Lepisosteus oculatus: one gene and its partner. The protein of the gene in region 2 purifies or fractionates together with the protein of the main gene of each other region. This does not show direct contact. Links are inferred from orthologs where the notes say so. Each region holds a gene or a part of one and is shown on either strand. Other genes may lie near its edges. The genes, in order: ranbp1 and rcc1.

Evidence for each region.
Region 1: the proteins of rcc1 (region 2) and ranbp1 purify together in Homo sapiens (affinity purification with mass spectrometry; 3 studies listed by BioGRID and IntAct, counting the BioPlex papers as one, with this or other methods). This does not show direct contact. The link is inferred for Lepisosteus oculatus from reciprocal best matches to the Homo sapiens genes RCC1 and RANBP1.

The regions. Positions count from the first base shown.
Region 1 is NC_090717.1:3,014,512-3,022,518, reverse strand, and holds the start of ranbp1 (ran-specific GTPase-activating protein), read right to left. Parts: upstream 3,138-8,007; 5' UTR 2,989-3,137; coding exon 2,974-2,988; intron 1,210-2,973; coding exon 1,073-1,209; intron 661-1,072; coding exon 503-660; intron 144-502; coding exon 15-143; intron 1-14. Other genes in the region: trmt2a (tRNA (uracil-5-)-methyltransferase homolog A), read left to right, coding at 4,637-5,280, 5,945-6,053. UniProt on the Homo sapiens protein: Plays a role in RAN-dependent nucleocytoplasmic transport. Alleviates the TNPO1-dependent inhibition of RAN GTPase activity and mediates the dissociation of RAN from proteins involved in transport into the nucleus.
Region 2 is NC_090706.1:6,699,079-6,707,288, reverse strand, and holds the start of rcc1 (regulator of chromosome condensation), read right to left. Parts: upstream 3,244-8,210; 5' UTR 3,154-3,243; exon of another isoform or gene 3,149-3,153; intron 2,834-3,148; exon of another isoform or gene 2,737-2,833; intron 2,426-2,736; exon of another isoform or gene 2,247-2,425; intron 1,722-2,246; 5' UTR 1,708-1,721; coding exon 1,638-1,707; intron 571-1,637; coding exon 383-570; intron 1-382. UniProt on the Homo sapiens protein: Guanine-nucleotide releasing factor that promotes the exchange of Ran-bound GDP by GTP, and thereby plays an important role in RAN-mediated functions in nuclear import and mitosis.

The DNA of each region.
Region 1 (8,007 bases), on a different chromosome or scaffold from region 2:
ACACGAACACTCACTCTCTGCATTGAGGAATCGGATGGCCAAGAGCTCAGGTTTGGGTTCTTCATCGGCGAAGTCCGCATGTGTGTTCCAAACCCAAGCCCGGTCACTTCCGGCGTTTGGCCTGAGTTCCATCAAAGGAGCGACTGAAAGAAGACCAACACTTGTTAACATGCAATTCACAACTCGCCAGCTTTCAGGCAATGCTACAAACAATGGCAGTTTTACTACTAGATTGAGGCCTAAATCTAAAATATAACAATGACGTAAATGTAGTTCCCCCATTACCCGTTTATTCATCCATCACATACCGTTCTTGTGATTTCATGTGATGTTTCGCTTGTAAGTTTTGTATTGTGTGGGAGAAGCCCAAGAAATTTCCGCAGTAGGGGAAATAAAGTACTTTAAATAAAGCAGATATTCTATTTTAATAAAGTATCTATCTTTTAAGCACGTCTTCAACGGACACAAAGAGCCACAGCACAAGAAAAGGCAAAACACCTACTGTTGTGGTTTGCACAGATTTTGAGAGTCCTGTCTCTCCTCATCAGCAGACGGATGGTTCCTTTCTCTTTGTGCCTCAGGAGCTTAACATCCCCGGTGCCCCTCTCCTTCCACTCCGGGGGGTCGTTCTCCGAAGCGAACCGGTACAGCTTTGCTCGCCTAAAGACGGGAAACACGCGCTGTGAGAGCAGCCTGCTCAACCTCAGGGCGATAAAAACTACACCACAGACCGAGTGGACATTCTGCGGCCTGCAAGTAGATTCCATCGTAATAACCACGCAATGTCTCTGTGGTGTTAAAACCATTCTTTGCATTTTCTTTACAAACCTGCCGAACTATAAACTAAGCACCGCGGCAAAATCTTGAACAATTTGGACGGTTGATGGAGGCAGGCAATGAAAATTTGCTCGTCTTTAAATGTTAGACTTTCAAAGGATTGTCCAAATCCTTTGCAGCCTCCTTAAAATTGCAAAGGGCGACACTTTCAAGCACTCAGAGAAACATATCTTTGAGACACACGTCAATGAAGAGGCCCGCAGGATGGCTTCGGCCTAAACAGGTGCTTTCTTACATCTTAAAGAGTTCCTCCTCATCCTCCTCCAATGTTTTCACCTCCTGCTCAGGCAGCGACACGATGGGCTCAAAATGAGGGTCGTGGGTAGACTCATCTGCATTCTCTGCAGTGGTCTCATGGTCTTCCTGTGTATCCTGAGAAAGACAAGAAGACTCGTTGACACACAGAAACCAGAAAGGCAAGTCCTCTTGAGTTCATTTCTCGGTGTGGATGTATTGTAACCAAAGCTTAAAACTCAAAACGAGACGTTTAATTCTCATCACAAGCTTCATTGCACAGTTAAGAGGAGAAACACACCCCACCATGACACAAGAATGTAAAAGCACAGGAAACGAGGGGAAATAAGTTAAAAATCTGGGAAAATGTCGAGGATTCATCAGGGGTGGTGTACATTAGAGAGCGGGGGGACGTTCATTACAGATCTAGCATGTGAACTAGCACAGTGTGCAACTACGCACCAGCACTATGAAGTGAATAGGGGGGATTTAGAAGATCCTGCTTTGGAGCGAGGTTCTCTTTGGAGTGAAACTGCTGTGGCAACTGGACATAATGCCACTAATGCTGAGTAAGGAGGTTCAAATTTTGCATGAGAAGATTCTTTGCCTATAGGCCTCAATCGGCTGCACTTGCATGCACATGCAACAATATAGACAATACAATCCAGACAGATTCTTTTTTTTTAACTCAAAAAGGTTGTGGTGTGTCCAAATGGTCTTCACACTCCCACCCCCCCACCCCCCATCTTGCGTTTCCTTGGCTGAACTGACTTATCAGCTATATTCAAAGCACATCATCATAGGGAATTAAAGTCCAAAAAAAATGTACAACTGGATGAGCCGTCGGTAGATCTGAATTAGAACATGCAGACGTGCACTCTAAAAGTCAAGCCTTTCCCTTACGAAGAAACCCATTGCATGGATTGTTTTAAAACCATAAATGTAAATACAAGGCCTTTTCTTTGACATCCAGCAGAATCCCTTTCGACCACAACTGTGCCGGCTTTTAACATCGGCATTGTGCTGGGCGGTCTGTTGCACACGATTTAGCTTAAACGTCTAGATAATAAGAAATGCAATCATTGTTCTTCAGTGAAACATGGCGAAATGAAAACCCCCTTGAAAAACTCAGGTCAATTTTTAATCAATAGGATATCTAGATCTGATGCCGTTACGAAAATAAAACGCAGCAGTTATTCAGCCCTTATAACTTCTAGAATTGCACCGGGGCATTTTTTCTACCTGCTGTTATCGGCTCATACGTTTTATGGAAAGACTCAAATGACAAAATAAACATTAAGTAAAAAAAAATGCCGAAACACGCCATTTGTGAGTGCGATGATGCGCTGGGACACTGCAACTTGCAGACAATGTGAGGGTCACGTTGTGAACGCCAGCAGTCTGCGTGCACCGCGATAGCCGCACTGGAAAGGCTGAAAAACCCCAGGAGACAAAATGCATCACACGGGAACTGATTTCAAAAACGTAAAAGGACTCTCAAAAATAAAAATTAACCCGACGATACAAGCGGAATAACCTGGGCTCAGCTAAAAGCTTAACCTGGCAGTGAAGGACGACGCAGGTGGACGTGTTTTAAACTTTTTTTAAACACAGCTTTCCAAATGCAGCAACAGCAAAAAAAAAAAAACTTAAGACACGGGGCACTTTGATGCAGAAACTTAGCTGTTTGACACCCCCCCCCAAAAAAAACCTCTAACCTGCTGGCCAGGAGAACGACATCAAACCCTCCACACCCCGGTCGGCTTTTAAAAATTTCCCCCATGATAGCCCGAAAAGAGAGATAAAACGCAATAATATCCCCTAAAACCGGCCTCTTGATCTTCCAATACCGGTTTTCTCGAAATCAGCAAACGATAAGACGCCCTGACGCCCGATCCTTACCTTGGTATCTGCCATGTTGTACAAGATGATTGCGGATTACGGAACGGGTGGCCGATGTTTAATTTAAAAACCGCCCGTGTCTGTCGATCCCTCTCTCTTCCTGCTGCTCCTTTCGCGCCCTGAAAAGTTCCTCCTCCGGCATTTACCTCACTCCCAGCAGCCTCCTCCCGTCGCCGCTAAATTACACCCCGACTTTCCCCCCCCTTTTCCCCTCCTTTCAATTTTAGACATAAAAACCTAAAATTAAAAAGCCCGCAGTCAGTGTTATTATTTCACCACGCAAATCGTTTTATAAATTAGCTTTCATTTGTTTCTATTTTTCACGTCTTGCCATTTGGCCCTAAAATTTTAAAATAAAAACTGAAAATGTCAAGAACCGCATCTCTTGTAGGTTATATATATCTAATAAACGTTTTTTTGTTTTTAATTCATTTAATATTATTTTTATTTTTCAGGGGCCTCCGACCTTGTACGTCACTTCCTTTACACTACAAATGCTAGTTTAAACATGTTTATTCCGTATTCTTTAGTTATATACTTGTGTAATAAACCATTTCGATAGAAAATGAAAATTATTTTTCTAATTAAATATATAAAGGTTTAAAATTAATCTCCCGCCATGCTTAGCGTTTGTAACGCGGCACTATTTTTCCGTGCTAACATGGTTGCTCACGTGTGCAGCTGAATTGAGTAAATGCGACAGTGTAGGGTTTAAACTTTTTTACTTTAATAGCGAGCGATAAGGTAAGCCGTCTTGCTTCATCACGTTTTATCCTAAATCGCTGGGGTTAAATAAGATTTAATACGTATATGAAGACAGCAAAATGAAATTATGGTCTATAAGCAATGCCATAAATGAAGTTAATTTTGCAAAGAACTGCGAACCAGACAGCACCAAAAAAAAAAGAAATGTAACAAAAAATCTTAAGTGAGTAAAGTGGAATTACTTAGTTATTTTTCTTGCTGTAAAATATAGAAACATAGTTACGTATTTTGCAACTTGTGGACTAAAATGTATTTAGTGTTATGGTTAACCACGTGAACTGCGAGTATTGAAGCAGGTGACAAATTTTCACGTCCTCCTGTGTTCTGTATTTAAAATCCTGAAAGGCAGAGTAATGTAAGACATTCCCTATTAACTTCCATGTTAAGATGGAAACAAACACAGTGAAAGCTAAAGAATCACAAGTGATATGTAGTACATGACACAAAAATAACACATCACAGTAATATGTGTGTATTTTTGTGTACTGAGAGAACATAGGAAAGTTTTGTTCTCAGACCATGGGTGTACCCCCAGTGTCCTGGCTAAATTCCACTCTGTCTGTGCACGATCTGGCCTCCCTAACATTTCACCCTTGACTCGATTGCTGAAGCAGTGTCTTGCTTCTCCACCTGATCTGCCCTACAGTGGGGCTGATGGCCCACAGCCGCTGCCACACATCAACGAGAGGTGATGGATGAACTGGGTGCTCTCCTATAGGTGAAGCACTCTGAGATCCATTGGGGGTGAAAAGTGCTCTACAGATGCAAGCCATTAGCCTTGTTCAGTTTAACAGATTATGTCACAAGGAGGTATTGGATAATCGTTTGGTTTTACAAAAGGAAATGTACCTTGAGCAATGATTTCTCTTCTTGTGTTTGCTCTCCAGGGTCTGGAGACATGACGGATGCAGCAGAAAGTGTGGTGGCGGGAGCGACGGAAGGGGATCGGGGTGAGTTCAAAGACGCATCCTTAGAAAGAGAGGCGCACGGGGAAGACAGCGATTCTGCGAAAGAGCCCCAGCCCGAAGGCGAGGAAGAGGAGGGCACCTCCAGCGTCTACCGCTACATCAAAGACGAGCTCTTCACCTCGGAGATCTACAAGGTGGAGATCCAGCACCTGCCCAGGTTCATTGGCTTCAACGACCTGAAGAAGTTTCTGGCCAAGCACGGCCTGACGCCGCACAAGATCAAGCTCTTGGGGCGACAGAACTTTGCCTTCGTCACCTTCAAGAGCCAGGAGGAGCGGGACAAGGCCATGAAGGCTGTCCATGGGCTGCTGTGGAAGGGCCGGGTTCTGAGCGTGCGGCTGGCCAAGCCCAAGGCAGACCCCATCCTGAAGAAGAGGCAGCAGCTGCAGCTGGAGGAGCCCGAGGGAGGGCAGGTTCCTGCAAAGCGCCACAGGGGAGAGGAAGGGACAGAGGAGGAGGAGCCACTCAGTAAGCAGATTGCAGATGTGGTGACGCCACTCTGGAATGTCCCTTATGAAGAGCAGCTAAAGAGGAAAGAGCAGGAAAGTGAAGGAATCCTGCAAAGACTGGCAAAGTTGGTAACTTAGTACTTTATTTGTGATCCAATGGGATGATTGCATGCCACTAAAAGCAGGGACCTTTACAGTCATTTACAGGACGGTTCGATATCTTTTTGTTTTTATTCCATGCTGACTAATTGATTTAATCTTGTTTTTTAATTACGCATAAATAGGTTTATTTTTAAGGTGTTATGCCTTTGCTTGCTCACAGCATTCAGGCCCACCTCTATAACTGCACCCATGCTTGGAATATTCTCCTTCCATACTAATGGAAGTATTAATATTACACCGTTAATTAATCCAACTGCATGACTGAGAGTGGTATGTAATCCAGAAGGCAGTAAGCCCTCCAGAAAGTGATTTTGAGACTCCTGTCTGCATCTTAAAATTTAAAAACTAAGTCTCTCGTGTCTTATATTGTCCGGAGAGCTACCTAGCAGTGGAATGCTGTGAAATCTGAGCTTCTGAGATAACCTGTTTTCGGTGATGCATGTTTTATGGTTGAGAAAGCAGCTTAATTTGTTTGCAGATAGCCATGTGTGGAAGTGTTCATACAATCATTTGTGTTGCTGCTAATGTATTGCTATTGGGAGCATGGAAAACTCCTTTTCAATCAAACAAAACTATTCTTATTTGAATCAATGACCACTGATCTTTTTCTTTCTTGATTCTCTTTAGAGAAATCGGCAATAATAACAAAGCCATGCTGCCTTGGCTATTTGTTCAGAAGCAGAAGTACAATAAAATGTGTTGTCCGCTGGAGGCCATTAGACCATCTCCAGTCCAGGTACAGTGGTGCATGCTGTTTATTGTTCCTGATCACTCACAGATTGCCTACGTTCTTGCTGCTCGTGGCAACCACAGCCTTACTGTTGAGTCACTCTGATAAGGTCATCATTTTGTACAGATTGGGCTGCCTGGCAACCTCAAATTCATGTCTCTTACTGCGTCAGCCTGTCATGTTAGCTATGTGGTCCAGACCTGGCTTCAGTGTTATCATCTGGCTGTGGAAGAGGCAGCCTGCCTGGCAGCTGTGAGCTTGGCTGGGTGATTAAGTAAGCTCCAGATGCACGCTTTCTTTCTGGCGAAAAGACCAGATGGTCTTTTCACTGGTTTGCTGTACTGAGAGTAAAAAGAAACTTATCACTCTTTTGTGTGCATGTTTTTGGTAAAATAGATGATCTGAATGTTCAGTATTAAATGTTTTCGTCATTTCAATCATGACCGAATCGCCTCATTACAGAGAGCTGATTCGGCAAAGGTGATGAGGTGATTAAAGATGAAATAACCTGTTGACCCGTCGGTCCTGGTGGGGGGGGGGGAAGAGAAAGAAAAACACAGGGAAGCAACTTGCTTTGTCTTCAAGAGAATAATGCCTTCATGCCATTGATCTGATAGAAGCTGAACTAGCTCGGTGCACTGTGGCTCACTATCTTGGGTGTTACCAAATAGCAGTTTCTAACCTGGCAAGATATTGCAGCCAAACCCAGGCCTTCAAAGGTAGGTCATGATCTTGGAGGCCGGTACTCATGATCCCTCACCCAGATTGACACATAATTGTTTTTAGTTTGAAGGTCTAGGTAGGAGTGTATAGTCACTACAGAATCCACTTGCAGTGATTGATTACAAGCAGACTGCACACTATATGGATGAAGCCCTAGAACTTCACTTGCTGTACTTTCTTAGGGTTTAGAATGTCCAGAATTCCAGCAGCACAATACATAGTAATACATTCAAGAACATTTTGTCTACATTTAGCCATTTGCTTTTCAATCTGGATGTGTGCTTTGGATCATTGTCATTCTAGAATGTACATTTTTTGTTAAGCATGAGCTTCTTGGCAAAAAGAAACAATTGTCTGGCCAAAATGTCCTGGTATGTATTGCAGTTCACGGTTTTTCTTATCTTAAAAAGGTCTCCTGGACAGCCCCAAAACATTAAAGATGGTGGGCTGGAGTGTTTTCTCTCTGACCTTAACCAATGTGTTTCATTATTTCATAACCCAGGTTAATGGGGAAATGTTCAGAGGCCTCAATATAGTTCCAAAGGTTTCCAAAGAGCAGAATGTTACTGTAGATTTGTTTTGAATTGGTGTTGAATTTAATTTAAAGGAATACTTTTAGACTGTTTTGACCTTCTTGTTTTCTGGAATTCATTGAATTATTTGCTTTGTTTCCATGCAATTATCCTAACGTTATAGCATTATTATCTGTAAGGGAAGCATATTACCCAATTCATAACTCACTCTGCTATATGATGTTTTTAATCATATTTCACCTGAGATATTAATAAACTTGAAGGGCATTGTATGCCTCATGAATGATAAACTGTACATATAGTTCTAGGTTACCAGGTTAGATTGTTTTGTTTTCAGTCAGATAAAGCAAAAGAAATTGTAATTAACTTATTTTTATAATGTATCTGGATAGCTGCTCTTGGATTTCAGTGTAACAGCGCAACTTTCAAGATTATTTAATGGTACAGGGAACCATTATCCAGTATGTTAGTTTTCCCAGTAAAAATAACAAGAAACCTTACACAAACTCAAAGAAGACTGAGGGGAACCTCTTCAGCACGGGTTCCTCCCACATTTTCGAGCTCTTACAGTGTTGGAGTTTTGCGGGAATGTGTTTAATCAACTGGAGATCTCCGGATGGGGAAAAAAAGCACCATATTCCGTCGGTGGATGGGCGGGGCTTCTTGGTGGCTTTGTTAACGCAGTGGAATTTTAAAGGAGTCAT
Region 2 (8,210 bases):
TGCAGGAGCGTGGAACAAGCTGGCCTGCCGTGCTGCCAAATTCGATACTCTGTCGGGCTTCTTTCAAGAGAAACTGGATGAGATAATTGGATCAATTAGCTTCTTGCTACCAAATGGGCTGAAAGGGCTAATTGGCCTCCTCTTCCTCATGCTTGTTTGGCTCCTAAATAATAAGAATGGTACAATTAAAGGAAGGCTATCGGTCCCATCTTGTCTAAGAATAGTTTGCCCAGTGTTTCGTGTCCTTAAATTCCACTGGAGCCTACCCTTACACCACACTGAAGATCCTTTATTTTATTAGAAATATCTGCTGGGTAAAGAAACAAAGTTGTCATAAGGTTTTCAAGACTCATTAAAGGTGAGGGGGGTGGAAGTCACTCACATTTCCAGTGTCGCTGAGACACACCGTGTGCATCCCTCCAGCTTCGGCCTGCACTACACTCTCCGGCAGGGAGACCAGCGCCGGCCTTTTCCTCTCCATCACATCCTCGCCCAGCCCCAGCTGCCCAACGTCCCCCTGCCCCAGCACCAGCACCTGCCCCGCCTGCTTCCCATGGGAGCCGTGGGACACTGTGGGAGGAGGGAACAGCTGGGATTATGCGACACGTCAGAGCAAGCACATGGTCAAGTGAATGCGCCTGGAAATCTGCCAAAGCAACTTTGCGCAAGGTTCTGCTAAAGAGCGGCAGGTAAATAAAATGCATGTCAGGCTTGTGCTGCAGACTATGAATTCTTCTTAGAAAAATGTAAATTCCCACAGGATACCGACTGATGCCCTCACATAGGTGCTTTAGAGTCCTTCAATGCAGACTTAACCAATTGAGGAATTCCGTGCAATGAGGGGTTAGGTGCAAAACGAAGTGATAATGTGAAATTATAGGAGCTTGGAGTGATTGTGGAAGGGAGTAAACTCACAGGTTCTGGTTATCTGTGCGGATTCCTGTAGGAGTGGTACATAAGGACTATGTATAGGTTGATGTCATTTGTGTAATGTTATATCTATTTTAATCTAATGCTTATTAAACATAGTTTTTGTATGTTTTTTGCAAACAAATCAGAAATAAGGTATAACTGTATTGTATATGAATGAGGAAAACACTTATAGTGTCATTCAAATACACCAGGCTTCTCATTTCGGTCAAGATCCTCAAGTTCAACTTGTCCTAATTATAGGTGAATACTGTTGGTATTAGTCTGACATTAACACTCACTGATCTAGAATTGGGCAACACAGGACATGCATGAATCGGAGCTTTAAGCAAACCAGTATGCTTATATGGGGCGCTATACTTCAGTCATGCACACATTAGCCCCAGATTTTACTTGATGTGAAGTTTACATCATATTTGGGATGCAAACATAAATACAACTACTTTACTGACTGCAAAAAACACCCAACAGAAGAATCGGATCATAAAGTAGAAGGAAAGAACTCTGAAAATGCTAACTTGTTTACAATAAAAGAACTCCTAATGGAATGCCTCCTCTGAAGATGTGTAGTTTTCCCGATGTACAGAAACCAGCAGTAATTAATAAACACCATTTTACAGCCAGAACTCTTCCCAATGCTTTTCAGCAGCCCCAGCATGAGAGGGCTACTATAGGTCAGAGAGACCACTGGACACTCAATGACCTACCTTTTACTTTCTTGGAGGGCTTGACTTCCACTGATGGGCTGGGCCTCTTTGCAGCCTTTTTTCCAGGCATGTTGGTCTCTTCTACTGTTAGAGGAGACAAACAGAAAATCAAACGTACAGGCCTTATACAGATCTTAACATGCAGTGCACACAGATATCACGACTTTGGCTACATATGTTAAGCAATATAGAGGCAGATATTACCGCTTGTCACAGGTAGTATAGGACCACTGCAGAATATTTGTATTTATGTCTCTGGACCATAGAACGCACGCCACTTAGTAAATATAGCTACAACTGATGTCCAACACCGACACACCATGCCACGTCATTGTAAAGAGATCCAACGACCAACAGGCGTAGACATTTTGATACTATTGATAATTAAAAGGAAACCCTTAAGTCAAAAACAATCATAACTTACTGAAAGGAGCTGTATATAAACGCGCCTACACCGCGATTACGCAGAATCATTCAGTTATCATGCAGCACCGAGAAGCTCAATTAAAGCAACTGCTGCTGTCTACGCGCATGGCCTTTGGTAAACATGCAAAAAGCTTTTTTAGGACTTGCAAACTAGCAAGTCGACAGAAAAACAACGTCACTCACAATGTTTCAGGGGTGGCGACGATAAAGAAAGTCCTAGCAACTGGACGAAAAATAGAGGTAAAGAGCATTAAATGCAATAAATCCCTTATCGCTACGAGGGGATAACCTCCTTAAATGCACATGAACTACAGCTGCCGGTGCAGCGATCCACGCGTTTGCAACAGATCTTCTGATTAAAAAAAAAATGACTGACAGGGGCTGATGCACGAAGTCCAGGAAGACCACAAAACAAAAACTGCTCTGTTCCCGTTGCAGATGCATAGGCTCAGAGCCTTATTTTAGGAAATGCATTTTTAAAGCATGGCGGTACTCGCTCCCAGTCATTCATTTCCTGGTTCACGGTGTTTTCGCGACCCGCTATTTTTTTTTTAAAAGGCCACGCGGAGCCATCCAGGTTTAACCAGGTCTCCCACACAACCCCATCATTTTTTTTTTACACACCGCAGTGCTCTACGAAACATTCATCTACTCTTAACATGTAATACGTTACCATTACTTTCAAGTCTGGCAGGATTACCACGAAGGGCAAATACATATTGAATAACTTTATTGGCACAATTTGAGCACACGTACAGGATAAGGTACTTTTAAAGTAACGTGCACAGAAAACCATGCGCAAACATAAAAAGCCTTTTATAAAGTTATAATATATCTAACCAAAAAGACTTTTAAAATAAAAGACACAAAGCCTTTTTGTCCCCCCGCTGGATACCGACAATTAAAAAAAAAACAGAAGTCATAAGAAACCGAGCCAATAAAATGTTCTGGAATTGTCTGTTCGCTATTTAAGTCGCGAATTTCGACTTTGACCGTCGGATATCACAGTTTATCTACAACCTTTCAGCTGTATTCACTAAAAAATACTGCGAGAATAACAGTAACGCGCTAGTTTATTGCCATACTTTACCACAGCCGAGAGTGTCCTGTTGTTAAGTTGAAAACCACACAATTTCCACTCTCCCTCTCCATGCGGCTGCTCCTGCCTGCCCTCTTAAAGGGACAGACACCTCTCCTTACAGCTCCTACACCGTCTCTGACGTTTTGGGGGGAAATGTTTGTTCATCAGGTGCTCCACACAGGTAAAAATGTAGATACATACTTATACTCTAAAGCCTAGCATATCTGCTGATTGGTGACAATCAATGGGTACAATCGCAGATAGAAAAACAAACAACGTTTATAAAATGTATACTAAGGATTTTAGATGGGATTATATATAGACGTACAGTGCCTTTTATAGAATATTGGATACAGTTATGGCCACAAAATATTTTCCTTTAGAATGAGTAACTAGGTACATTTCTGTGTTAACGGGGATGTACTGACAGGTTAAAAGAAGCAAATCATTTTAGTTGTGAACAGAAAAGGCTAAGGGTGGTGACCTGATTCTAACCTGATTTGGATTATTATATATCATTCTGTGTCCACTACACAAGAAAGACATTGGTGTTTTGAGATAAGTTAACAGAAAAACAACAGAGATATTTTTTCCTCTGACGGAACAATGCCACGTTGTGTTATGCCTGTCTTCTTTAACTTAACAATTGCACACTTCCCTAAATTTTGGGGGGGGAAGCGAACGGATAAAAAAGGATAAAAACAGCTCGTTTCTTATTGACACCAGCTACTCCCATTGGGGATGAAACAGTCAAATCAATAAATCAAAAAGAATGAAACAAAGTGATCTTTAATTCTTTCCCCTTGGTCAATGTTCACACAAGTCCTAAATTATGCAGTGTTACTAAGAATGTCTTCAGAACGATATGGTGAAGGTTAAGTCGGAGTGCCATCTCATTTAACTTTCACACGATGTACTCTTTCAAATGCACATGCGACACGGCGCTATTCACACCAGAATTTGGGTAAACAAAACCAAACCCGAATATCGCATGCAGAGATCACTCAAAGACACCCAATTCCCTTTCTGGGAAACAGTAAGGGGGCCAGGAACTGCGAGACAACTGTCTGCTGACAACCCACACCTTTCAACAGCTTTTAGCCAATCTTAGCAGATCCGTTCAGTTAAAAAGTTAAAGAAATCACTTAAATATTTCGTAGCACGAAAGAGGAAAAACACAAAACAGTGGAAAACAATTGCCACCCGTGATTGTCCTGAACAAAAAGATGTTAGACCCACTTAAATATAATTGGGATGATAAGCTTTTTGTCCCCTACTGTATATCTTGCCGCCAGATGGTAGCAAAGCTACAAGATTAGAATTGGCGGAACAACTGAAAACTCAGCTGTCGAGAGAAAGGGAATAAATCATTTTCACTTTCGGAGCTTTTCATCTTTCTCGCTTTTTAGAAAGGGCCAATTCATACAGCCCCAGTATGCATCTAACCCGTCTAGTTTCAATAAATGCTACAAAACCACGCGTCGCTCGCCTTTCAAAGCCAAGTGTTGGGCATATTATACGCAGCAGACAAATCTTTGTATTTTAGCTCAATTGACAGGTACACTGCACGAATCATTTGGTCGTCAATCGTTGATGTGGGAGGGCCATTGAAGACGCTGAACGTTTTTAGCCGCAAAAAAATAAATAAAAATCGCCTTGCAGCTCAGAAACGGACAAAAACAAATCGAGGGATTGTTTCAGGAGGAGTAACGATGTAAAAACCGAAATCAGGTTTGGGAGAATTCAGAGCACAAGACGGCAGACGGGTTTGTAAACTAGACAGCCCTAAGAGTCTCCTCTAGTTGGCAATGTTTGTATTCTTACACAGATGACTGTATGAGCCTGAAGCCAGCTCCTAGCCATGGCAGTGAAGTTGATTGTGAGGCCGTTTAAGAAACTGTTGGAATTTCTATCGGGTACATGACAACTCACTGAGATCAGGAGTTTTTCTTGCTGCTCTACTTTGATCTCTTTCTAAGGTTCCTTTTTTATGGTAACAGCTACCATGCCTGTACACAATATTCGAAACGAGTCTCTGTTAAATCTTGAGTACGATTGTCCTCTTAAACTCCACTGCTGTTAAGCCTCAACGATGTTTGGGGTTTTTTTTCTATTGCTTTGCTGCATTGGTTTGACGTGGACATTAAAGATGACTTTAAAAATGTGCATTTTTTTTACATTTATACAATTTATATTAGTATCCCCTAATCTTTATTTCAAATTAATCAATCAATCAAATTAGACAATCTGACTATTTTAAAGTGGTTAAGAAAGCTGATCAATTTAACTAGATGGCTGAACTGACATTTCATTTAAAATTCAATTTAAATAAAAAAAATAGAACCACATACCCTTTCCCAAAAGTTTAATTGACCTCATTATTTAACAAACATACCCTTGTTTAAAAAGGTTGCCTGTACATTAAAATCAGTTTTACAGCTGCATGATTTAGAGAGATTTTTTGGAATATGAAAGGACTAACGGGCTCTTTTCTATAAAATGAAGCTGAATGAATACGCAGTTAACTGTTCATTAGTCCATATGGAATCATTCAGACAAAGGACCAAGCATCCAAGAGGCGTCAGTTTTCACCAGCTATAACATTATACATCGGATCCCGTTCGCTTCAGCTGTTTCTTTACCCGTGTTGATAAACATGCACAATTACGAAGTATGTGGCCGCACTTTGCTTTTGATTATTTTCATAAGAGCTCCAAACTTCCCTCCGTTTTGAAGATGTTCAGACATGAACATATTCTCTCTATATACAAGAGTCTGTTGAGGTTTTCACAGTCGAGCCAATAAAATGAGCTCGTTTTTAAAAATATATCTACTAAAGGTATATTGAAAGAAGTTCAGTGGAGGACTATACTACAACAAATGAGACCAAGCAGTTACCCTCCCAACACACTTTTTAAAATCGAAACAAAAATGATTTAAAGCTGTGCTGAAAACGAGAATTCTTTTTGTCCTTTGAAAGTAATTTCTTGCTCTTTTATCTTGTATTTCAACGGTTATTTCCCCATCAATTACCCTTCGTCAATTAAATCCACTATTTGAAATAACCTGGCATTTTCCTATTTACTTTGTATTAACGGGTTTTATGGGCTGTCAATACACTGTAACTGTACAGTCATTCAGTGAATTCAATTTCTGCCACTATCGCTTCGTGCGACATCATTTTCTCATCTCCCACGGTGTCTTCAAAGCTGGGAATTTAGTTTGTAATTTTTGCAGAGCACATGGCAATCTTTTGAAGGTGTTAATTTATGCATTTGTTCTTGGACCCATAAGATAGGAGTCATCAGGCATACAAGAGGAGCCAAAAAAAGCATGCTCTATTTCCTAAAAACTTTTCTTTGCTCTTTTAAGAAATGCCATCAGTTCTTAAATGGTAAAGAAACGATGCTTGGAAAGAGGCATTCATATCATTGACCACACGGCGAAACCGCATATACCACACTTATCTTTAAATAAGAAAATTTGTATGAACAGTAGAAAAATGTGCCATTTTTACAACAAAAGTCCCGATGACCACGGCTGCCACACTTGGTATATAAGTACTATGATGTCTTTTCCTAATTACCTCTTGGTCATTTCCTCCTTTTAGGCTCGTATTCTGGGTTATAAATACCCAAAGGAGCAGAACTCATTTACGGAAGAAAAATAATATTCTGCCTTAAGGGCCCTGTATGTGCAGCTTCATAAGCCAACCAGCCGAATCCCAAGGGACTGGGTAGTGGAATACCGAGACTTTTACGAGAGAAAGCAGAACTTACCTAAAGGTTGATACAAGGTATAAGGCTAAGCTGTTCTTGGGGTTTAGGGCAAGTGGTAAAAGTATTGCTTTAGTGGTCACATGCTGGTTACGTTGCTGTGTTCTTTAACTGCTTTTTCCCCATCATTGATCATGCTTGGTTACTGAACTGGTGGTGGGTTCTAGGTTTGTTTGCTTGTTAATTGTGCACGCTTTGTGTACTGCAAAAGCCCTTTACTATGGCGTGTAAAGATTAACATTCTGCAACCATTTATCTTCTGTCACTGTGTTTCTAATTGTAAGCTATCTATATTCTACTCTATTCTCCGCATTCTAACAGAGACTGCACGTAATAGTCTCTTTTATAGTTTATTAATGCACAACACTTTGTGAAGAATGCATTGCCTGAAAGGCACTGTTGAAAATGGATTCATATCAAATAGACAACATGGACTTAATCCAGCAGAGTCTGTAGAAAACCTTAGCCCGACAGCATGATCAATCCCCCCCCCAAAACATATCCTCATACATAAGAAATATAAGACAAAAGAGACACTTTTCTATAAGCTTTTAATTTGATTCTGCAGTGGCTGTTAATTGCTAATTAGAGAGGTGCAGATATCAACTGCCTAAATTCCATAGCATTTCTTTACAAAAATTATACATCTGTAAAATAAAACAGGTGTTTTTATATACCAGTCCTTGTAGTGTTGCTGAACCACCAACCATTCTGTCATTAAGAAAAACAATGAAACAGCCTATAATACTTTTATTATATTTAAAATCTTTTTTTCTTTTTAAGATAGGAAGACAAGATATACAATGCATTCACGTAATCTACAGAATAAATCTATACAGCAGAGGTGAGGAACTTGTTTCCTACTGGCCCCAAAAAAGTACACTAAAACATTGTAAGTAAAAATGAAGAAAAATATGTTCCTGCCGAAATGATTTTCCCTGTCATCCATCAAAGAGGCGGATTCTTTTTTTCTGTAAAAACTAAGAGATCTGACCCTGAATGTTAGTCTTTTATTATTTATTTTACATTTACTGTAAAGGTTTAAGGTGCTGTGTTCTCTAGTTGCTAAAAGTTTCAGTCTGCACATTTGTTTTCAAGGGGGGGTAAATAAAATAAAAAGAACCAAAAAAACAGTTAAAAGCACTTATTGGACAGATTTTTGCATTTACTTCTGTCACAGTTTAACAAACACGTTTCACCGCTTGACAGATGATATGCATAAACTACATTCTACTTTAAGACTGAAAGTTTATGGCAGAAAAAAGAAAACATTCTGAAACAACCAGCTTT